Linked DNA regions of Danio rerio. The protein of the gene in region 2 interacts with the protein of the main gene of each other region in a pairwise test. Links are inferred from orthologs where the notes say so. Each region holds a gene or a part of one and is shown on either strand. Other genes may lie near its edges. The genes, in order: katnbl1 and katnal1.

Evidence for each region.
Region 1: the proteins of katnal1 (region 2) and katnbl1 interact in binary tests that used the Homo sapiens proteins (3 or more experiments, as listed by UniProt). The two-hybrid records come from large-scale screens. The link is inferred for Danio rerio from reciprocal best matches to the Homo sapiens genes KATNAL1 and KATNBL1.

What each region holds. Positions count from the first base shown.
Region 1 is NC_133195.1:31,940,244-31,953,333, forward strand, and holds katnbl1 (KATNB1-like protein 1), read left to right. Parts: upstream 1-6,046; 5' UTR 6,047-6,146; exon of another isoform or gene 6,147-6,601; coding exon of another isoform or gene 6,602-6,605; intron 6,606-7,094; coding exon of another isoform or gene 7,095-7,105; coding exon 7,106-7,222; intron 7,223-8,974; coding exon 8,975-9,012; intron 9,013-9,388; coding exon 9,389-9,662; intron 9,663-10,043; coding exon 10,044-10,159; intron 10,160-11,302; coding exon 11,303-11,353; intron 11,354-11,460; coding exon 11,461-11,550; intron 11,551-11,640; coding exon 11,641-11,745; intron 11,746-11,831; coding exon 11,832-11,925; intron 11,926-12,024; coding exon 12,025-12,057; 3' UTR 12,058-12,599; downstream 12,600-13,090.
Region 2 is NC_133185.1:41,476,381-41,489,302, reverse strand, and holds the start of katnal1 (katanin p60 ATPase-containing subunit A-like 1), read left to right. Parts: upstream 1-5,274; 5' UTR 5,275-5,357; intron 5,358-9,850; 5' UTR 9,851-9,936; coding exon 9,937-10,098; intron 10,099-12,922. UniProt on the Homo sapiens protein: Regulates microtubule dynamics in Sertoli cells, a process that is essential for spermiogenesis and male fertility. Severs microtubules in an ATP-dependent manner, promoting rapid reorganization of cellular microtubule arrays.

The DNA.
Region 1 (13,090 bases), on a different chromosome or scaffold from region 2:
TCTTCATAGCCTCATCTTTGGGTAGGGAAAATAACACTAACTTTCCCTCACACTTCAGAGCACAGCATCTTCATGACATGATTTAATTGGGATTTGCTACAGTGCTTGTCTTCCTTTTTTTCTTTCTACAGTGTTGTGGGCAGGGCCGGGGGTTTCAATTTTTCTGGGTCTGAGCGCGCAACAAATGGACGGGCATAAGTGTCCATATGGACATAATGCCGACACGGCTTAAGACTCGTTACCTTGGCTATTCATTCGAACCACTATGAGTCGACTCTTTTATAGATTAATCAATAGTTTTAAACATGGTGCATTTTCAGATTTAAGCCTAGCTGGATATTTCACTTTACGTAGAGCTGTGTTACACGCTGTAGGAAATGTCATTTTCAAAAACCCATAATAGGGGCTCTTTAATGAATATTTTGCTCATTCCTTTTAAAAAAATTTAAATGTTCATAGATTTACAAAAATCTTTCATAAAGGCCTATTTAAACCAAGAACAATAACTGTAATACTTGTTCTAAATCCACAATTGTGTACAATGGTACAGAAGTGCAACATCACAGGAATCATTTTCAGAAAATATTTCACTTGAAACACTTTCATTTTTTTGGTCTTTAAAAACATGATAAATGGCCCTCATAACACATCATAAATAAATTGCCAAACAAATTAAAGATTTTTTATAGCTAAAACTGTTGTAGTTTATAAAAAATATGTCTGACTCCTTGATTCTGATTGGTTGAACCAATTAAAAATCATGTACTGCCTAAACTTAGAAAGCAGCACATATGGTTGATAAACAGTATTTCAAAGTATGTCCTTATTAGCTTATTAATCTGTCTGAGTTTCGGTCTGGTGCTCCAGGCATGTGTGACAACAACCCATACTGGACCCTGCTGGAATAAAAAATGGCATGTGCTGTTGGTTTGACACATTGTTGCTAGTTCCTTGCTGGTTTAAGCTGGTTCTTGCTGGTCATAAGCTGCATGGTCATTAAACCAGTAGTCATGTGTCAAACCTACCATTTTTGTTTTGTTTTGTTTTGTTTTGTTCCAACAAGGAAGCTCCTGCTCATGCCACTATTGACAGACCTGCATTCAATATGCTCTTGATACACTCAGTCAAAAAGGTAGCCTACAAAACTTGTAACTGGGGGAGTACCTTTTCAAAACATATTTTGTACTGGTCCACATTAGTACTTTAAGGATATATTTTTTGTAACTTTAAGGTATCATGAGGTACTCATTTGTACATTTTAGGTACTAATTTGTATGTTGAACGTCCTTGACATGATAGGTACAATAGTGTATCTTTTACAAATGTACTACCTCTATGACCTATTGTATCTCTATTTCAGATAGTGTAAATCCTCCTGATCAACTAAAAAAATAAAATAAAATAAAATACAAATGGCTGAATCAGGAAGATAGCACTTGTGCCAGAATGAATGCCAGTTGAATTAATATTGTCCTCATTGCCTGCCAATTATGCCTTATGAACATTAAAATATAGTAATGTACTGTATGTAATGTATGATTAGGAAAAATGAGCACTGACTGACTTTGAATATGACTTTCGCCACTACAGATTTTGAACGTTGAGACATCACTAGGTAGACACTAGGCCTATAGACAGAAGCTAAATATACCACAATCTCAAAAGTGTATATATTCTTAATTAGGTTTAATGTCAGGTTAACCAAACAAAGATGAGTTCAGAGGTCAGAGTTTATTTTTAGGTTAGCACATAGGGTCAGGGAGTTTTTAAAGACACAAAAGACTGCGGGTTAAACTGTCACATTATTTGAGGTTTGCATTATTTTGATGTTTCCCTTGTTTAAACAAATTGCAATATGTACCAGGAATTATGGTTACGCCACAGAAACGTTTCTGATTGAGCTGAGACAGACAGCTGATAAATAAGCTCGCCCGCATTCATTTTCGCTTCAACGGCGCCACAACGCCATCTGGTGGCTGCATGAAATGTGTTTTGGTTTTGGAAGCCGTCCAGAAGACACTTAAAATTAATTATCCTAGATCAGTTTTGCCAGTTTTGGACATACTGTACCATCCAGCAAATCTTACCTTTGGCAACAGGAAAGAAAGCCAGCTGAAAGATGATCTCAACAGATATTGACTAATATTTCTTTTGTGAATGTCAGTCCTACAAGTCAGCACATGGAACTATAAGTGAAAAGAGGATTTCTTACATTTTAACTGACTACATAAATCATTAACATATTACTGTCTCTAAGACACAAAGGCTTGACTATTCGTAACTTGCTTTTCTTTAGATGTCTTTGTATTAGCATGCTGCTAGTGCTAGCAATTTATACATTTAGGCTACTACATTTATAGCCCTGCTAATCTTTCATATTTTTATATTTTTTACATCCTAAGCAGCCTGGTTCCAGGTTTTGTCATTAGAGGTGAACTGGAGATGAAGAGGAGAACAGATGAGCATTGCAGGAAAAGAGATGTGAACTTGTTGTGTCAGACACATTTCTCCTCATGTTACATCACAGGTGGAGGTCTGTCATGCTAAAGCAGAGATGCCCAGACTAGGGCCTGCACACCAAAGTTGGCCCGTGGTAACCTTTGATTTGGCCCACCATCCCATCTGGAGGAATGATGGGGATGGTTTAAAGATTGTCATTTAAACCTTTTATTGTTTTTTAATGACATTTTGTTTAACATGTACATACTGTCACCTGATGAATCGAGGACAATGCAGAGATGTGTGTGAATCAAGGCAAAGGCAGATTCTACTTGCACTAAACTACACTTATAAATGTGATTTTTTTTTTTTTTTTTGCAATATGTTATAATTACAGTTAGTTTATATGATTTAAAGTGATGTTTTCTATTTATTTATAAATATTATAAAATTAATTTGAAAATAATGCAAATTTATCTTTGGCCTATGGCTATGATGATATTTGGATTTTGGCCCTTCATATGAAAATGTTTGGCCACCCCTGTGCTAAAGCATTTGCGAATGTCTTATTGGGCATCCATTTAAGGATAAAATATTACACGCTCGAATATTTTAAGTATCAGATGTCAGTTTGAGTGCTTACCTGCTTCAAATGAAAGATTATTTGGCATAGCAACTCGGCCTCCTTCACAGATATTATATCATCACCTACAAATATAATATGTGGTTATAACATCTGGGTAAAGCAGATCAAACCATCTGTTTCCATGTGCTTACAATCTGTTTATTTACTAAAGATTGAGTGCTACGACAGACTAGTACATTTTTGTGTTAGACTTCGAAACTGTGTCTTAATCACAGTAAAATAGAAGCCAAGCTCACACATTCAATTCCCAGAAAATGTCTGAAGAGAGAAAATGTTAATCTGAATTAAGAGCCCGATACAAAACATCTGACAAATTCTTATTACTATTTTTTTTCACAAATTTTCAGCACTTTTATTCAGAAAGTTTGAATTTCATTTTAATTTCTAATAACTGTTGGTAAATGGGACTTCTTTAAAAATAAATTTATACTGTGACATATTGAAATGCAACCTTTTTTTTTGTAATTGAAACCAAAAATCCTTTTTAAAAAATGTATTTGTGCCTGTGTAAAAAGTCAAGTGAACTGAATGGCATTTTTCCGATATTTTATTTCCTGGAAGTGCTGTGAAGAATGTATTTTTGTTCCCAAGTGTCTGCCCCTTTTATTCCAATAAAAACTAAGGAAGTAAAGTCTGTTTATCTTTAGATGACTTTTTTTTTTTTTTTTTTTGGTTAGGCTATTTTTATTCATATTGAAATGGTAGCTATTACTGCAGTCTAATAGTGACTCTTGAAAGAGCAACTATGATTATTATTTTTATAGAACGAATTGCACAACCCAAATAACGATGCAGCTGCTTGGTGAATTTTTGTGGCTGTCTGAATATGAGTCCTGATGTCGGCTATTTTATTCAGTTTTCCCGATCAGTTATTTTTTTAACTGTGGTGAGATTTGTCTTCAATGACACATTCTTCAAGAAATGCGTCAATTTCTTGTGCTTAACTTCAGGAATAATTGTAGGACAGATTAAAAAAAATTACGGTTGCCTACTGCATGCGTGCTGTTTCTGTACATTACTGAAAGTTTCAGTTAAGTCCCCAAATCTTGCTTTCATATATTAACTTACACCAGTCTTATGGCAGTATTCACAACACTGTTCAATTGCTGATTTATTTATGAGTCAGCCTCACAGCAAGAAGGTTGCTGGTTCGAGTCCTGGGCCATTTCGCTGAACCACCAACTTATCCAGCACGTTTTTACGCAGCGGATGCCCTACGAGTCGCAACCCATCTCTGGGAAACATCCACACACACACACACACACACACACACACATTCATACACTACGGACAATTTAGTCTACCCAATTCACCTGTACTGCATGTCTTTGGACTGTGGGTGATACCGGAGCACCCGGAGGAAACCCACACAAACGCAGGGAGAACATGCAAACTCCACACAGAAATGCCAACTGAGCCAAGGTTCGAACCAGCGACCATCTTGCTGTGAGGTGACAGCACTACCTACTGCACCCCTACATCGCTTGTCTATAGTGTATGTGTGTGAATGAGGGTATATGGAGGTTTCATAGTACTGGGTTGCAGCTGGAAGGGCATCCACTGTGTAAAACATATACTGGATAAGTTGGCGGTTTATTCCGCTGTGGTGACCCCTGAAGAAAAATAAATGAATCTCTGTGTCCCTTTATTACAGTTTGTGGTTTCATGAAGTTTTTCAGGACCTAATGATCACATCAGCGCCGATTGATTGTTATCACCTTTCTTAACTTCTTTGAACTTAAGGTCATGAGATGCTAAAGGATCTTAAGCTAACAAACATCCATTCTAACAAGGTTTTTCCTGTAGATTAAAGTGTAATTAGTGATAACTAAGGACCCTTTATTTGTAACTTTTTCATCTTCCTTGAGTACATTTCTGTTCTTTATCACTGTGAGTAGGTTTGATCATCAAAACCAGTGATGTCAAGCACTTAGCAAACCTCCATGGAGGGCCACAGTAAGATAAATAAAAAAATCAGAGAATGATCTTTTGCCTGCTCCAAAAAAGTCACATAAAGGCACATAAAAAAGTCAGTCAGAAATTGCTTGTAAATTGCTTTTCTACAAATACAAAAAACTAAATCAATGAAAAATTATATTGCATTGTATATGGTGGAATGGTGGAGGCCTTATAAATATTTTGGGGTTGTAATCTAAACAAAACTGATCAAAGAAACTTTTGTAAAATAAAAGGTTTTCTGACACTTCTAAGCCAATAAAGAACCTTGATTTGTTTATTTATTTATTTTATTATTTTGTTTTTTATTATTATTATTGTTGTCAAATGGGTTGAGAACACTCATTTACAGTTAATGTGTTAAAAAAGTTTGAAATAGTTAAGATAAATCTGGATATTTATTATTCATTTTCCTTCAGCCTAGTACCTTTATTTATCAGGGGTCGCCACAACAGAATGAACCGCCAACTTTCATATGTTTTACACAGCGGATGCCCTTCCAGCTGCAACACAGTAGTAGGAAACATCTGTATACACACTCATTCACACACATACACTTTACAGCCAATTTAGTTTATTCAGTTCACCTGTACCGCATGTCTTTTGACTGTGGGGCAAACCGGAGCAACCTAAGGATACCTATGCGAACACAGGGAGAACATGCAAACTCCACAAAGAAATGCCAACTGACCCAGTCGGGACTCGAACCAGTAACCTTCTTGCTGTGGTGCTAACCAGTGAGCCACCATGTTGCGTAAGTCTGTAAATTTACAGTTAATAAAAATTTTTCTTTTCTTTTCTGTTGTATTATTATTAACTTTAATTACATAAAGCTATAGTTTGGAAAGATGTTGCTTCTAAAAATACTTCAAACAAATGTTAGCTTTCCAAAAGGAAGCTGATTCATTGTGCCCCACCAGATGTCGCTAAACCTTCAATCCTGCTGCTTCACCCATCCCAGCATTTCAAGTTTGTATTTATTTGAATGGTCCTTCCTTTCCTCTGAAATCCACTCAAATTCCCGTTTCTTCCTGGTTGCGCGTGGACACACTCTCGGATATATAACGTGCTCTAGGATGCACAGACAACTTTACACAATGCTATGGTGGGTGTTTACGAAATACGCTGGGCTGGCAACGTTTAACAAGTTATATGTTGTGTACGTGCTAAGTCCTTGTTTGCTAGCAGGTGATTAGCTAGACTTGTTTGCTTATCAGCTAGCTATCTCGTGTGTTTTCATCACCTGCTTTGATATAGGGACCACTGTGTGAGTGTCGAGTAATCTCTAGTTTTGTCTTTTGCAATTTAAGTTAGTTAAAGATTGGCGACTGTACGGTAAAGTGTGGTTGGCTTAATTAGCTCGCTAGCGCTAACAAACCCTACACCTAAACAACAACGTCACATCACTGGAGGCCTAAAGCTCCGTCTGACAGATGTCTAGACGTTTACTAGGAATGCTAGCTTATTAATTTGAAATATTTAAGTTGGATTTAATTGAACCGGTTCGTAGATTCACCCTCTTCCTCTGACTCAGCGTAACGTGCTACGTGGTAAGACCCTATGGGTAAGACGTCCGTTTGAAAATACAGAGCATCCTATTTGTATCTGATAACGAACTATGGGTTATTTGCAAGACACGAATAATATAACATGTTTGTATATATAGTATTTTTTAGTATAAGTTTATATTAAGATAATGAAACCCAGTCCTAATTAAAGGGTATTAACGAGTATAGAACCTTAGCATATGTTCCCGTCTTGCTTTTTGGCAACCAAATAACAACCTTCCAGCAACCCTTTCGGATTTTTTGTGATCAAAACCTTTTTCTTTTATTTTGTGGTAAATCTAACGAAAACATTGTTTCATTCTTAATGTTATTACTTTAATAAAGATCATTTGACTAGTTTTATTGAGAAACTGATTGTTGTCATACACTCTAAAAGAGAAGCTATACAATTGAGGCTTTGAGCAAACAAACTGCAGCTGTTTGCTTTAACAACACCATGTATCCTGCCCTGTGCCAAATATATATATTTTTCCATTGTACTCTAGAGTCCATTATTATGGCCACTGGAAGTCATGTTGGAAGTAATGCAGAAGTCCACAGGCTCAAGCAGGCTCAGCCCCATGACCTTCTCAAACGTATGCTTTGTTCTGGAGATGAGAAGAACATGAGGGAGGTAAGACCATTTCATTCACACAGACAGTGGTTTGTTATGCATATTCATGGTGGTGTTCGTTTCGTTTTTTAGTTATGAAAAATATTCAGTGTTTTTAGCTGGAATACACTGCCCAATATTTGTCCAATTTTACGGTCTTGATGTTTAAGCATTATATGTAGAAGTTCAAAGGCAGTCTGCAGTGTTTTTGGCAGTCATAGAAGCTCACATGATAGGCTCAAACAAGGTAATTGTTGGTAAAAGAAGATATGTATTTCTGTTTTGGAGCATTTTAGTGCATAGCTATTGCAATGTGTGTGCGCGAAATAGTCACATCGCAGAGTGTGCAATGTTGAGATATATAGTTGACTAGGAGAGACTGTTCAGAACACATTAGGTTTGTTGGGCCACTGGAGAGTTTAACCATGATGGAGTGAAAGTTTATAATATGCATGTTTTTGTGAGCATTTTAATAAATTTAAGAATGAAATTCAGTAATCTGGCACAATAAATGTTACTGTTTGTAACTTTAATAAACATTAATTTAATTGATTTATGCAGAGTTTTGTGCTGTTGTTCATTTGATTATTTAATTTCTGTGCCTGAATACTGCTAGACTCTCCAGGAAACCATAATGTACTGTTGATTTCACTTTTTATCTTTGCTCTGTTGTATTTATCTTTGCTTGTCATTTGTTTGCTACATGTAATGCATGATTCACTCTCCTAAATAATCATCCCAATCAATCTAAAATGAATAAACTCTTCTCAAATAGAGCTTCTGCTTAAATTGTAATTGCAATATACAGGGGGTCCGTGATGTCTTAAAGTCTTAAAATGTCTTAAATTTAAAAAACAAAATTTAAGGCAATAAAAAAATCTTAGTTTCTGTATAATGATGAATCGTATATCTTAAATTATTTTAATCAGGTCTTAATTTTCCTATGTCCAGGAAAAGCTACCCTATCGGCCTGACACCCAATCACAAATAATCCATCTAAACTTTTCTTTTATTTTTATGCTTTTTTATTATTGCAAAGAGATACAATTCACAACAACTGGTAAACATTTTACAGTGAATGCTCCAAATTAAATTCCCTATTCAGAGAAAGACAACTAAGCAGCACATCCCTTTACATGATCTTCCATTAATACAAAAACTATTTACAGAAATAACCGGCCTATTGGGAAAAAATCTTTATTTTAACCCTGTATAAGTCTAAAATTTCATTCATAATTGACTTAAAAAGTCCTAATTTTGACCTGAAAAATAAATATTGCAACAAATTATCACAATGTCTATTTTTCTCCAATATGGCCCTATATCAGTGACTATGCGGGTTTCATTCTAAAATGATCACAAAAACCAAAAAGTCACTGTAACAAAAACGTTTCCTTGTTTTCAGATACATTTATTTACAGCCAACTTGATGTTATAACTTGAGCAGAGTTAGGAAAGCAATGTTTAGTATCAATTACAACAAAAGTTGACTTTTCATTTTTTTGAAACGACAGCAAAAAATTGTCTAAATGACAATATATTTATTTAAAATTTGGGGGAATATGATGTTATACAATAAATCAATTCAGAAAAAAATGTTTTTTTTTATTGCTCTCTAGTCTGGTAATTTATTGTTTGCTTCCCACTTTTTTTTTTCTGGTCACCTAGAAAGTTTGATACCTACTGTTTTTAAATCTATTCAGATTTTAAGCATTGTGTCATGTAATCCAGCTTTTAGTAACACAACTTTTTAACTGTTGTCTCTTTTTTTAGGTGGATTATTTACTGAAGGACGAAACTGATCAAGAGAGGTATGTTTTTGAACTATACAGTAGCTTACTTTTACAAATTGAGGTAAAATTGGATTTATATTCGCACATTTGTTCAGTGACAACTTATTGACACAGTCTCTATATTGTTTACAACTCTACTTTGAATATTCTGTCTCAAATCACAAGTGAGTATGTCTTGAAATCAATGTTAGCACTAATTAATTGCTTGAACAATGTTGTACTTTTATAGTTATTCACTACTAATATGATTTCACTCTTTAGAATTTGCAAAAAGTACTATTCTGAAATTATTTTTAAGGAGAAAGCCTGAATGTGTGAATATAAAACCAACTTTACCTCAATCTTTTACAAGTCAGTTTTAAAGTATGAGATTGTGTTCTGCTCAATTACACAGATTTCCAGTGGGCCGTTGTGTGCACAAATACAGCAAAACGAAGAGAGAGGTGGTTGGCAAGAAGAAAACTCGTCTCTCTGGGGTGGGACCAAGAGCATGTCGGAAATTGCCCACCACAAGCAGGACATCTGACATGGCAAACAAAGAAAACGAACTGACCTGCGTTGATGAAGTGCAGGCTTTTCTTTACAGTGACAACTGTGGGTTCCCAGTGAACTCCACAGACGCAAAAATGGCAGGAGCTGGCTCCAAATACAGCGATTATTTTACTGAGGTGAGCTAATGCTGTTTTATGTGAAGCCTACAGGTGTGTTCCAAATTATACACTACACACTGTTCTTTTTACACTTTAGTTTGTTATTTTTACATCGTAAGACCCTCCACTTTTTAATTCAAGCTCCATCAGTTGAACACTTTTTTTTAATAAATTTTTTTTTTTTACATTAGTGTATCATCCACATTTTTGAAAGTGCACTATTTTTACTTTTCGTAATTGTGAATGCAATGTTTGCTCTATTCCAAAAAATGGCATAGAATATGCTTTTATAATTGTCTATGATATAGTCTTCAGGCTATCATGTTTGCAGTGTATCTGTCATGGCAAACTGATTTGAAAATGGTATTATTTATACTAACTTAATTTGTTGAATTTCAGTTATCAAAGGACCATGAAGCAATGAGTCATGTGCTCTTCGGAAGGAATCTCAGACTGAATGTTGCTTTGACTCTTTGGCGGAAAAATGCAAGCGAACTAGTGGCATACTTAAACAGGTTAGCAGTTTCACATTTAGTGGAATGAAGTTCAAATTAATCAGAAAACTGACTGGTAAACATTTTTTCATCATTAAAAAGGTTGCATTTAGTTGATCAAAAGTCATTGTAATCTTGCTTTTACTTAAGAAATGACTGTTACAAAGTTAGGCATCTCAGCTGTTTTTAAGGTTTTGTACTAATACATTTTAGAAAATCACCATGTTCGAATAATTGGATTCTATGATTCACGATTACACAAGAACTGATTGACTGCTGTACATTCAGTTTAGGTTGTTTTATAATTTCTAGACATTTTTATATCACCATTTCACTGCATTTTTATGTAATTAATCCTGCCTTGCTAAGCATAAAAGGCAAATTAAATATCACATGCAACTATAGATTTATTTAAAAATAAATGCAGTGCTCAACATGCACATTAGATAGTCAGTACTGAAGACAAATCTGGATAACAGTCCAAAATGAATACAACCAAACTTAAATGTTAAGCAAAAATATTGAATAAAACATTTAACAATAGCAAAAAAAAAAAAAGAAAAAAAATGATTTAAACAAACTATATAATATTTTGCATGAATTTCAATGTATTATCTTTATATTTCTAAAGGTGTTCGTTGACTAAAATATCATTCATTCATTTTCTTTTTGGCTCAGTCCCTTTATTAATCTGGAGTTGCAACAGCGTAATGAACCGCCAACTTATCCATCATTTGTTTTTTGCAACAGATGCTCTTCCAGCTGAAACCCATCACTGATATCCATACACACTCATTATTACACATACACTACAGACAATTTAGCTTACCCAGTTCACCTATAGTGCATGTCTTTGGACTGGAGGAAATCCACACAAACACAGGGAGAACATGCCAACGACACAGCCGAGGCTCAAACCAGTGACCATCTTGCTGTGAGGCAATCGTGCTACCCACTGTGCCACAGACTAAAATATTTTTTTAATAAATAAATCTGTTTTGTTCAAATGCCCCAATATATATTACCTATATTCACTGAGAAATGGATATAATTATTCATTTTCATAATGGGATGTATTCATTTTTGTTGAGCACTGTATATGTGTGTATTTATTTATTTTTTTAAATTGAAATGCTGCATGCATATAATTATTTTTATTTACAGAATACAAGACACGGGGGTGCTTGTTGACTGTTTGCCTGTACTTACTAAAAGGTACCGTAGCCTATTTAAAAACCTTTTTCACAACATGTAAATTTATTCAAAGTTTGTCACCGATGTAATAGGAAGACATTTATCTTCATGACAGTTTCTTTTTTTAGTCTTCAGGGAGAACAGCCATGCATTTCACTGGGCTGTTGTGTTGATCTTTTTCCACAAGTGAAAATGATTCTTAACACTAAATATGAAGAGTGAGTATTCTGTCCTTTGCCTTGTGCATTCTGATGTACTCTTACTGTTTGTTGTAGTTCTACCTAAATTGGACTTCATCTTTGTTCTAGACACCTCATCGTAGCTTTACACTGGGTTCAATCTATCATTAAGAAATGGTGGTCTGAGCTCTCCACAAACAACAAAAGTTTGCCCGAGAGCAGTTCAAACGACAGGTGTGTTATTTCTACCTTTACTGAGGTTAAATGGCAAAACATCTTAGAGAAATTTGCTAAACACTCAACATGCTTGTATCTAACAGGAATGTTCAGGCAATGAAGACAATGCTGCTTGAACTGTGGCAAGGAAAGAGTCACTTAAGCTCAGTTCCAGGAACTGTAGGAGAAACTGCAAAGGTGGATAATTCAATCATCAACTTTGTAAAGTGAAAGACTGCAGTGTTTTACAAAAAATGTGTCTTGCCTATTTCCTTATCCTCTTGTTTTCTTTCACAGGTCATCGAATCATATGTGTCACAACTGCGCTGATGTATCAATGTAGCACACTAAGGAGAAAACCACTATAAACTCTTGGTGTATTTTAAGCTCTTGAGGTTGATGAATCTGAACTCAGTAGACTGTGGTGAATTGGGGGTAGATGAACTGAACAATTCAGACACTCCAATTTCAGCACTGGAGGAGGAACTCTTCCTGCAGGCACCGAATGACTGCTTCACATTGAAGTGGACTTGCTTAGGGGCACATAATCAACTCCATGAGACTCTCTGGAATCAGGCGACTCACTGAAGTGCCAAGCAGACGTTTTAACTGTTGCACTTGTAGTGCCATGGTGTGAATCTGCTTAAGTGGATGTGATTGTGTAAGTGTACCTTTATCGGATGTTTTTTCAGTCACGCACTTGAATTGCAGGAGTTTTAAGTTATTAGTGTTGTTTTTGTTTTGTCGTCTGTTGCCTGATCGTGAATGAATATTTGAGTGTCATGTGTACATAGTGATTTTTCTTTTAATCGGCTTTCAAATAAATTGACATAATCTAAATGTTTTGTATGAATATTTATATATTAAATGCATGTTTTTTTTAAGGGGATAGTTCACACAAATGTGAAAATTCTCATCTTTTACTAGCCCTTCATTTGTTGAACGCAAAAGATGTTTTGAAAAATGCTGGTAACCCTTTTTTCTGCGATAGAAGTCAATGGCTGCCTGATTAAAAACCACATTAGAGAGAAATATTTTTTTTTTTTTTTGTGTGAATATCTCTTTCTTTCACTGATGTATAAAGAAAGATCCTTTACAACATTTAGCAAAATGATCATCGTGCTTATGGGATATGCAATATACATATTGCAAAAATGCGATAAATTACATTTATGCATTGGCTGTTTATCTAAATTTGGCCAATCAGATGCTTACTATATTTAACCTCACCTTCCAAGTATTTGTTTTCACATTGACACTGTTTTTCTCTGAATTAGAATAATTGGATCTAAAAAAAAATCTTTTACCTATTTATTTTAATATCAATAAGTAATTTATTTAAAACATGGCTAATAAACTAGAG
Region 2 (12,922 bases):
TTGGGCCATTTCTGTGTGGAGTTTGCATGTTCTCCCCGTGTTTGCGTGGATTTCCTCTGGATGTTCCGGTTTCCCCCACAGTCCAAAGACATGCGCTATAGGTAAATTGAATACAATTCTCTGTATTGTGTGTGAATGAGAGTGTACAGGTGTTTCACAGTACTGGGATGCGGCTGGAAGGGCATCCGCTGAGTAAAACATATGCTGGATAAGTTGTCGGTTCATTACCCGGTGGCGACCTCTGAGGGAGAATGAATGAATAAATAAATAAATAAATGAAACAAAATCCCACCTGGGATCATATACATTCCCTTTAGTTTCTGGCCCCCCATACTATATAAACTTCTATAATCAAAGTTAAACCAAATAATTTGTTCATTATTAAGGGCATCCGCTGTGTGAAATTAGAATAGTTGGCGGTTCATTGTGGCGATCTCTAAAATAGAGACTAAGCTAAAAGAAAATGAATGCATGTCTAATGTAAATCTGTTATGATTTGAACTTTTTATTGATTTTCTTATTTGCAAATATGCAGATGAATATCAAATACAGAGCATTAACATTAAAGCAGAACAATACAAAATAAAGAAATTAATTCCGTCATAACTGAGAAAATAAACCAAACCAAAACAAATACAAAAAAGAGGAAGGGTGGGTTGACAATAGCATATGCTTAATTATTATTTTGTCCCCTTACATATTTGGATTGTGGGTCACAGAAATTCAGAAATGGTCCCTATTCATCAAAATACATTTCAATCTTTCCATGTGGACTGTAGGAAAGATTTTGTTAAGCTGTTTTTATTATTAAAGACCAACTCATTCTAAGACCAATATGACTAAAGATTGCAAAAACAATGAGCTGGATTGATTGATGTGTATTTTTGTGCAGTATAATAATTGTAATATATATATATATATATATATATATATATATATATATATATATATATATATATATATATATATATATATATATATATATATATATGAATGTATGGTTTTAACACCACACACTGAGCCAGTTTTGAGGCCTTCGTGTGTTTTTCGTGACAAACACGGGCTTAAAAAGAGCACATGAACGAATCACCAGATGAAAATCTTGATTAATCCGAGCCGCCTGCTGTTCATCTGCTCAAACTGCATAGTTTTAGTGGTGTACAGCGCCACCAGACGAGTGTTTTGCGCCACTGTCATATGTTTATAGAGGCCGTGACTCTTCAATCTGATTATATCAGCTGCTCTCCGTCCATGCCATCATCATTTTCATGCCCTTATTTCTGAGCTTGGATTTCCTGTGGGTAGTATACAACTGCATAGATCCTGTGGTAAAGATACATTTGTTGATTACAAACTATATATTGGGGTCGAGGGGTTTTCAGTCAGTCAGTCAGTCAGTCAGTCAGTTAGTCAGTCATTCAGTCAGTCAGTCAGTCAGTCAGTCAGTCAGTCAGTCAGTCAGTCAGTCAATCAATCAATCAATCAAAATATAATTAACACCAATTGTTAGATTTACTTATTATTTATTTATTTATTTATTAGTATTTTGTATTTCTAATGTATCTTTATAGATTTATATTATGAACATATTTGTACTGTTTTAGTGTATTAAAAGCCTAAAAAGGATTACCCATTGGATAGAAACCATTGATGCAACGGGTGCTTTAAACTGTAGCAAAGTTACACTGCATTGTTCCAAACAGAAATAATAATAATAATAATAATAATAATAATAATAATAATAATAATAATAATACTATTTATAATGATAATATTAATGATAATAATGATAATAACAATAATATTAATAATAGTGATACTACTACTACTACTACAAAAAATAAAAAAATTAAAATAATAATAATAATGATAATAATAATATTAATAATAATTATACTACTACTACTACAACAAATTATAATAATACTCATTATAATAATAATGATAATAACAATAATAATGATAATAATAATAATAATTAACATGATGATAAAATAATAATAATAGTTTTAATAATATTTTAATAATATAAATAACAATAATAATAATAATAATAATAATAATAATAATAATAATAATAATAGTATTATTATTATTATTAATAACAATATTAAATAAATAAATAAATAAATAAATAAATAAATAAATAAATAAATAAATAAATAAATAAATAAATAATTTTGTGTGCATTAGAGTATAGCCAGTTTACTTGAAATAAAAAAAATCTGAAAAAAATGAGGGAAAAAATCCCTATCAAAGATTTTGGCAACAGTTTATCAAGGACACACAGTAAAATGTTCATCAGTGTAACTGATTATATGCCAAAAAGTCTTATATTTATACAGTTTTTTCTCAGTGGCTTTGGTGCATTTTTCACTACACTATTTACATTTGCACAACAGTTAATGCATTTCTCAAAACAATCAGTCATTTGTGCAGATCATAGTAGCAGTTTCTCATTCCTTTCAACACATTGCAAATGCTTTCGGACATGCATCAATTGCTTTTACACAACTCTCTGCTGTTTATAACATTATCATCTGCTTGTCATGTCAGTCATAATAAACTAAACGTGTGAATGCTGAATAGTCATTCCATATAGAACTAATAGTCCTCATTTCATTACTTGAGTCATTACATACAAAAATGTTGAACTTGTTGTCAAAATCTGTCAAGAAAATGTATTAACTTTTAAAAAATCAAAACTTTTAAAATGTATTTTTTTCTAAAAATGTCTTACAGTTTTTCTCAGTCGCTTTGCTGCATTTCTCACAACACTAGTGCATTGCATTTGCAATTACAAACTGCAAAACCTAGCTGATAACCTGCAAAAGCGTGTCACTTGCTCAAAATGGTTCATTCCTCAAAAGCAAGTATTGATGTCAATGAAAGTGTCAGTGTGATCAAGATGAAAAGTCATGACACCATTGTTTATGAACAAGATAGTCAAATGGCTTTGTCATGTTTTCATTATGACAGTTTACTCGGTACATTTTTTCCAATGCAATAGACAGACATTTGAAAACTACAGAATGTTTTACATGTTTACTGAATTTGCTCTTTACAATCCTAATTTATTCACAGCATTGTGCAGAACAGTAAATACACCCTTATTTACAACAAACATAAACTCCCTTTGGGTAGAGCTGTGCACAACTGTAGACAATATTGCAGAACATATTGGAACTGAACCTACAACACACAAAGGTCTGTAAATCATTCAGGAAATTGTTCAATTTAGAAGACACTTTCAGGAAAATAAAGATTTAATTTAAAAAAAAATAATACTTGCTATATTTTGAAAACTAGTTCAACATTTTTGTATGTAATGACTCAAGTAATGAAATGAGAACTATTACTTTTATATGGACTGACTATTCAGCATTTACAAGTTAAGTTACAGTTTTTCTCAGTCGCTTTGGTGCGTTTCTCACAACACCAGTGCATTTCTGTACAACAGTTAATGCATTTCTCAAAACAAAAAGTACAAACTGCAAAACCTAGCTGATAACCTGCAAAAGCGTGTCACTTGCTCGAATGGATAGTTCATTCCTCAAAAGCAAGTATCGATGTCAATGAAAGTGTCAGTATCATCAAGATGAAGAGTCCCGACACCATTGTTTATGAACAAGATAGTCAAATGGCTTTGTCATGTTTTCATTATGACAGTTTACTCTGGACATTTTTTCCAATAAAGTCAGCTTTTGGTGACACTTCCTGAAAATGCTCAAGACAGCACTATATGCTATTTGCACTGAAAATTGAAAACTACAGTAAAGTTAGACATCACTGCATTTAGTGAGGTATCTGAGAACAAGACACTGAATATGTATGTTTCACATGTTTACTGCATTTGCTCTTTGCATTTCTAATTTATTCACAGCATTGTGCAGAACAGTAAATACACCCTTATTTACAACAAGCATAAGCTTCCTTTGGGTAGAGCTGTGCACAACTGTAGACAATATTGCAGTACATATTGGAACTGAACCTACAACACAGCTCTGTAATTCATTTATGAAATTGTTCAATTTAGAAGACATTTTTAGAAAAATAAAGATTTAATTTTGTTTTATAAATTTGCTAGACAGATTTTGACAACTAGTTCAACATTTTTGTGTGTAATGACTCAAGTAATGAAAAGAGGACTATTAGTTCTATATGGAATGACTATTCAGCATTTACAAGTTTATTTAATTTTGACTGACATAACATAAGCAGATGATAATGTTATTAATAGCAGAGAGTTGTGTGAAAGCAACTGATGCATGTCCAAAAGCATTTGCAATGTGTTGGAAGGAATGAGAAACTGCTACTATGATCTGCACAAATGACTGATTGTTTTGAGAAATGCATAAACTGTTGTGCAAATGTAAATAGTGTTGTGAGAAACGCACCAAAGCCACTGAGAAAAACTGTAAATTAAACAATTTTCTGATTGATTTACAGACCTGTGTGTGTTGGTTCCGTTCCAATATGCACTGCAATATTGTCTACAGTTGTGCACAGCTCTACCCAAAGGGAGTTTATGTTTGTTGTAAATAAGGGTGTATTTACTGTTCTGCACAATGCTGTGAATAAATTAGAAATGCAAATGCAAATGCAGTAAACATGTGAAACATACATATTCAGTGTCTTGTTCTCAGATACCTCACTAAATGCAGTGATGTCTAACTTTACTGTAGTTTTCAATTTTCAGTGCAAATAGCATATAGTGCTGTCTTGAGCATTTTCAGGAAGTGTCACCAAAAGCTGACTTTATTGGAAAAAATGTTCAGAGTAAACTGTCATAATGAAAACATGACAAAGCCATTCGACTATCTTGTTCATAAACAATGGTGTCGGGACTCTTCATCTTGATGATACTGACACTTTCATTGACATCAATACTTGCTTTTGAGGAATGAACTATCCATTCGAGCAAGTGACACGCTTTTGCAGGTTATCAGCTAGGTTTTGCAGTTTGTACTAATTGTTTTGAGAAATGCATTAACTGTTGTACAAATGTAAATAGTGTTGTGAGAAATGCACCAAAGCAACTGAGAAAAACTGTAAACATACAGACACATGGACGGACGGACAGACAGATTAGATAGATAGATAGATAGATAGATAGATAGATAGATAGATAGATAGATAGATAGATAGATAGATAGATAGGACAAATACAGTTCGCTTAAAAATATCTAAATTGGATATTTTATAAAATATAGCCTAAATAAAGTGTACACAGGGTACCACAAGTCCCGCCCACAAGACATGCACTCACTCATCAGTGCGCGTCTTCCCGCGGCCATGGCAACATCAGCAGGCAACGGACTGAGGACCAGCCGAATGTAAAAGTGCCTTGAATAAAGGTAAGACATTTACTCATTGGCATGCAAATGAGGAATTAAACATTGAATGCATATATAATGTCGTACGTTCATAGAAGGACCCATAAACTAACATACTGACTTTATATTTAGTTTTCTTCCAAATCCTTTTTGTTATCGTTGGCCTAAATCTTGAGCGTCTTCCACTGTTGCCTTCTGGGTAATGTAGTTTGTTATTGCTGGTTTCATAGTGTGTCTGGGTTTAGGCACAACGGAAAAAACTACAAGTCCCTTGTCAAGGAAAACGAAAGGCGATGACGTTAGTGCTACTCTTACATGCAAGCAAGAATTGATATATTTGATTTACTAAGTAAAACATACTGAATTTGAATTACTAGTTTTGTGTTGTCACTTTAGATAATTTTGGTGGAAATACAGAAAAAAACACGCGACTAAAAAAAACACGAGGCGCCTGGGAAGGTAATTATTATGCGCCTCACGTCAGGTGTCCGACAAATGCTTTATTTTGACAGTCGCTTTGTTTGTGGTCAGGACAAAGGTTAGTATAACAGAGTTTAGTAGTGAGTGCAGATTTACATTCAGACCCAAATAGAAATCCTCTAATGTTGATTGTATTCAGTCAATCTCAAGTGTGCCGCAAGCCTGCGTTTGAGTGAAGGTCTCGGCCGTTAGATCGCCCCCTGGGGGCTGGCTGCAGTACAAGTCATAAAGCCCGCCTCCTCCGTGTTAATGAAGGAGACTTGAGCCCAAATAAAAAAATTAATTACACTTGCAATAAAATGTCCCGAAAGATGGTTTTGGTCGATTAAGGCACTGATTATTGTGCTGAAATAGGTGCAGATCCTCATTTTTGTAAACAGTTTGTTTTTAGCAGTAATTTAATGCTGGGCGTGTCATCGTGATTGACAGCTGTGATTGACAGTTTCTCAAAGCGCGGTGTCTGAGCTTCGGCAGAAGACTGAAGTGTTATTACTCGATTTCTGTGATATTTTACTATGACAAAATAAGTTCAGCAGTAAACTACAGTTTCTGACATACATGATCTGGTGGAACACTGTTTATTCGCTAAGGTCAGAGCTTTTTTCGGGCTTTATTAGTTTGCTAATACACGCCTAGCCACCCAGATAGCAAAATACACTGGGGCCAGTTCTTGCCTGCCGGAGACTTACCCCTCAGACTGACTACCTCTGCTGGACTTACTCCGGATGCCTGGACTCACTGCCCGATTCCAGCCATAGTCAATTGAGCCAGATGCGGCGGCCGAGCGAGCAGGCGCTGCCGCATGCGAGCCGGAATCAGCCCGCGACGCCGCAAGTAGGTTATGTGCGCTGCTGCCTGGAGCTGGCGCGATTGAATCTTCATTATATAAAACCCTCACATTTGTTAACGTTATTACAACCATTTTTGTTGATATAACAACAAACGCATGCTACTATGTGAACGCAAAGTGTATCACTGAGTTTAACCTTTGAATAAAGATGCAAACAGCATACATAGCAATTATTTAAATAAAGGACAAAATAAATAACAATAAACCTGTATATTGCACAAGTATTAAATATTAATACAATTGAATACATTTTGTAGTGCACAATTAAGAAATACGAAAATGACAATAAAACTGCACAATAAAATAAACCCATTTAAGTACGGGGAAAATACAGGAGATCGTTAGCAGTAATTCTCTTTGTGTCTAAATAATAATCTCCACGTTGATCTCCTGTAAGGTTATTTGAACTTGCTTTACAGGACGTCTCTGCATTTTAAGTTTTGGCATGTTATTAAGTAATAAACTGAATTTGCTGTTATAAATCATTATAAGGTTCTTGAAATCGAATCTTATATAACCTAATAGAGCTGTAAATTTTAGATATTATTTATTTACATCATTTACTGTTGCCGTTTTATTTGAACACTCCAGCTAACATGAAGGCATCGAATAAACCAAATGAAAACGGAGGCAAAAAAATTAAATAAATAAACAATTCAAGCGAAAATGAATAAACAATATACTAGTGATGTTGCAGCAGATAGACATTGTATTAATAGTGCAAAGTTTTTTTGCACAAATTGACAAATTGCAGGGTTGGGATGTGTAAATATCCTCTTGATATTTAAAAATCTTGCTGTATTTATCTTCTAAATGCACGATTTTCCCGCATGGTAAATCGTTATGTGTAGGCTATATTTTGGGTTCTGTTGATGGCTATTTAAAAATAAAAACCTTTCTAAAAATGTATGTGTTGTTTATATGTTATTGTTCATATTTTACCAGTGTTATTTCTACCCCTATGATGATAACAAATACCAACAACAAATATAACAATAAGAGAATATATTATTTGTGCTCATATTCAGGCTAGAGTGTATAAAAGATCGTTTATTTCTGCAGTCCAGCATGTATTGCTTTTATTAAAGTTTAACAGCTTACATCACACCGTTTTCAAACTGTATATTATTGTGTTTTTTAATGTAAGTGCTTCTATTTACATCAGTGAGCGTTTGTTATAGTGCAGACACCGGCAGTCGAGTGAGAAGTTCAGGGGGCGTGGTTGATTTTACATAAAGCGTTTGGTTGGAAGCTCGACTCCGCTCATTTTCGCGGCTCCTCCTCTGGCTCCATCAGACAGTCCTTCTGCGCATGTCAAGGCTCCAATTTCAGCAGTCTTTTGCGACAGTTTGTGCCCGTCAAGCAGGCGTTTTGCCCTCAAGGCGTTCAATGGGAAAAGGGGCTGTCGCGTCGTCCATATTTTTTACAGTCATTGGTCAATCTACATGGTACGGTAATGTCAGGTAATGTAAAAGTGGAGAAGACTGGCTTATTTATTCAAGACTCAGTTACTACTGTACGTTTTAAAACGTTATTACAATAAAACATCAAATTTATACACTTTAAGGAGACCAGGTCGGAAAAAAAAACACTTGAAATTGAACGTTGCAGTTTATCATGAATATATAAAAATGCCAAATATGCTGCATACTGTGAATGATAACATTTATATTTTGGGCTTTTTGGCTCTTCATAAAGTGTAAGGTTTAATGGAGTATAGTCTAGTGCAGGGGTGCCCAAACCTTTTCTTATGAAGGGCCAAAAACCTAACTTGAATGAGTGCAGTGGACCAAAGGTAAATTGACAGATACATAAATACACAAATAGTTAGACATATAGACAGACAGACATAGATTGATAGATAGACAGACAGATAGATAAATAGATAAATAGATAGATAGATAGATAGATAGATAGATAGATAGATAGATAGATAGATAGATAGATAGATACATAGACAGACAGACAGACAGATACATATATTACAGATATATAGATATATAGACAGACATACAGACACATATGTAAATGGATAGATAGATTGATTGATTCTCACTCTCTTCTCAGCTGGCATGGCAGGCCAAATCATAGTTTACCATGGGCAACTTTGTCCCGCGGACCCTAGTTTGGGCATCACTGGTCTAGTAGAAAGAAAACAAACTTTTAATCACAAAAGCCTACATATTTGTAGTTTTTACTCAAACTTTTTATATATCTTTACTTTGCATATGCTTGTATACAATTTTCCTTTTTATATACTGTATTTCCTACAAATAAATATTTATTTTTTGTCAATAATAATAAGCCTAGAGTGATAAAAGCGAGACACATTAATTCCCCTTTTTAAAATCACTTGACTCTAATATACGACTGATAAAAAGAGTAAAAAGAATTTTCATTAATTGATTTTCCTTCGACTTAGTCCTTGTATTACTATGGGGTCGCCACAGCGGAATGAACCGCCAATTATCCAGTATTACACAGCGGATGCTTTTCCAGCTGCATCCCGGTACTGGGAAACACCCATACACACTCACATTCACACTTATACACTACGGCCAATTTAGTCTATTCAATTTACCTGTACCGCGTGTCTTGGGACTGTGGAGCAAACCCACGCCAACACGGGGAGAACATGCAAACTTTACACAGAAACGCCAACTTACCCAGCCGGGACTCGAACCAGCAACCTTCTTGCTGTGAGATGACACTGAGCCACCGTGCTGCCCCCAAATGAATAATTATATAATATTATGCAAACAATATATGCAAATTAGTGACATTTTATTAAATTAAGCCTAATTTGCATATTTAAAGTAAACAATTTGAACAGAAAATCTGTAATACAAATAAAAGTTTGCAATTTTTGATGTAATCAGTCAATTGGGGAATAGCAGTAGTGTTTAAGAAAAAGCCTTTTACTCTTATCAGCTTCCATTTGTCACATTTATTTCATACGCAGCTTGTACAAATGTACACATACGCACATTTTCTATTTTCATATACTCAATGAATGTATATTTTCTCACACACCATTAACTGTTAACAATAAAAATGCAGTTACACACAGCCAAAACTAAACTGTATCTTGTATGCGTTTGAGCAGTCGAGACTGAGTAATTGTATCAGTGTAAATGATTGATTCAGCTCTGCATCATCTTATCAGCCTCTCTGTTCTCTTCAGGACTCATGGCCTGATATCAGCAGCTCTCAAACTAGAATCTCTGAACTCCAGTCGTGTTGAAGAAACATTCTGATTTCTCTCTCATCATGAATCTGACTGAGATCTGCGACAACGCTAAGAAAGGAAGAGAATACGCGCTTTTGGGGAACTATGACTCTTCTATGGTGTACTATCAAGGTGTTATACAGCAGATCCATAAGCACTGTCAGTCCCTCAGAGATCCTGCACAGAAAGTCAAATGGCAACAGGTAAAACTCTCTTATACTTTATAACTGTCTAACTGAATATGTATGAGTGATTGTTTATTTAATACCAAAATATATACAGCAGTGCTTCCCACACATAGACTTTACCTGGGTGGGCCGCCCAGGTAAATTTAGTGATTTTTTTTTTATTGTTATTAACATCCTTTACATTTTTTTTTGCATCCGCTCAATATAACCAAACATCTGCAGTTGATCAAGTAGTGGAAAATCTTCTCTCGTTTACCTGTTACGTTCTGTGCATGCGAGACTTGTCAACACTAGGAATGGGATGATAACCGTTTTCAAGGTATAAAGCGGTTTGGAAAAGTTAATGTTTTAAATCCGCCAACATTTTCTGTAGGACCGTTCCTAAGGTATAAGTAAGATTTTTTTATTTACAACAGAATTTTCAGCAGAAAAAGATGTCGTTTTAAATAGTAAAGAAATCTGTGTTTTTGAAAGAAATGAAGACAGCATAAGTCAATGATTGATTTGAATTTTTTAGCCTGACATGATTGCTGCTCCAAAATATTATAAGTCTTTCACAAAATAAAATATATTGTTTTCAAAGAGAGAAAGAGTTTTAGTTTTTTTTTTTTTACATTTAAAAAGAACATATTCAAGAGCAGTAATCACAATACCGTGATACCATGAAACCTTGATATTTTTGTCCAAGGTTATTACACAATCAGAACCGGCCCATGCCTAGTCAACACACACTGACGGTCTCGCGTGCTCTGCAGACCCACAGAGACATATTTTTTTGGGACTTAAAATTTGTCTGCCCCGGGTTTCTAAATCTCCTAAAATGTCTAAAAAGTCTACTTTTGCTTTTCCTCCTAAAGCTTGTATGCGTGTTTACATCACCTTTTTACTTAAGGCTATTCGCTTTGCTTCGCAATTTGCGAGAGAAACATTCAATGATTAATTTTTAAAATCTAAACAACTTTTACAAATTTTACAATATACGCGGAGAAAATGTACATCATTAGTAATGGTTAATCAACTCATTTGGCTTAATAATCTCCTTTTAATCTTGTAATTATGATCATTTTTAGAGATATTGACTTTTTTTTATTCCTTTTTCTGTTTTTTATTTCTCATTTGCTGATTATTTCATTAATGTGATGATGTTAATATGTTACATAGGCTATTTTATTTACTTATGTAAAATGCTTTGGCATTTAAGTTTGCTCTGAACTTGAAAGAAAGAGAGACGCAGATTTGACCTGTCAGCGGGTGCACATGGCTCCTGAATAGCATAAAAGTAAGAGAAATTGTGGATGTGTTCTTCTTTTTTATTTATTTTTTAATTTTTTACTTTACCCATTGAAACTTCACAGTGTATATTAAAATTATTGTTCAATTTAATTATATATTGTTTGTCTCATATAGTTAACTATTTATGTGATTTGGGTAAATGGTGTGTTTCAGTTTGTGGCTACCAGCTACCACTGAAAGTAAATTTCAAACCTGTGGGCACTGATACAGTTGAAGTTGAAATTTTTAAATCTCCTGGAAATTTCTTTTCTTTTCCAAATATTTTCCAAATATGTTTAACAGAGCAAGAACATTTTTACAGTATTTCCTATAATATTTTTCATCTGGAGCAAGTCTTATTTGTTTTATTTTGGCTAGAATAAAAGCAGTTCATGGTTTGTTTAAAACCATTTTAAGGAAAATTATTAGCCCCCTTTAGCCCATTTTTTTTTAGTCTACAAAACAAACCACTGTTATACAATAACTTGCCTAATTACCCTAATCTGCTTAGTTAGCCTAATTAACCTAGTTAAGCCTTTAAATGTATCTTAAGCTGTATACAGGCCCGGATTAAGAACTCAGGGGCCCCTGGGCACATTATCTTGTAAGGCCCCCTACCTGGCCGCACCCCTATAGTTGAATTTAAAAAATAAGAATAATAAAATAATTTTTAAATAAAATGAATCTATAATTTGTTGCCCACATATTTAAATAAATGATATATAGTACATATGTATTTATAGTCTGCAAAGATTTAAATTATTTTTCAAAGCATTAAATAAAAATACTAATAAAACTACATATATATATATATATATATATATATATATATATATATATATATATATATATATATATATATATATATATATATATATATATTTTTTTTTTTTTTTTTTAAGGGTATTTTAGTGTATTGGTTTTACAAACTTATAAAGCATATTATTGCCGTGGCATATAACGCACAATGCTTCTCCAATCCAGTTCTATGAATCTGAGTTCTATGAATCTGAGTCTTTCATAATACAAACACTGATTTACTGTCTCTCTCCTCCTCTCCCTGTATTTTCTCTACTCTTCTCGTGATGAAGACTTGATTATAAACCTAAAAGTATCCGAAATCACACACACTATACCTCTTCTCTTCCGTCTCTCTCCTCTTCTGGGCCTTTTCTCTCTCCCTCTCTCTCTCCCTTTCTGTCTGTCTTACACACGATGAATCCAGTCCGCGCTGCGCTGCCGTTAGCCTCCTCTGCCTGGTTAATGCTAGCTACTCATCATTTAAAGTTAACGTCTTCTTCTGTACCCTCATTCTCCTGATCACGGGTCTGTTTAAAGAAGGTGTGTATGGAAAATGCCTCAATAAAGATGCCTCCTCTCCTCTTTCTGTCGCGTTTGCTAAATCCACTTGTCCACTCATTTTTGATCTATGACAGATATAACGTTACACTAAAGTCCGCTCAGTTTAGTGCGGGTTATTACAAAACTGACGTTTCCGCACTTGACCAATTACAGCATTCTGTTTAGTTAAAGAAAGAAAGGCAATTTAAATATAATAATAATATTA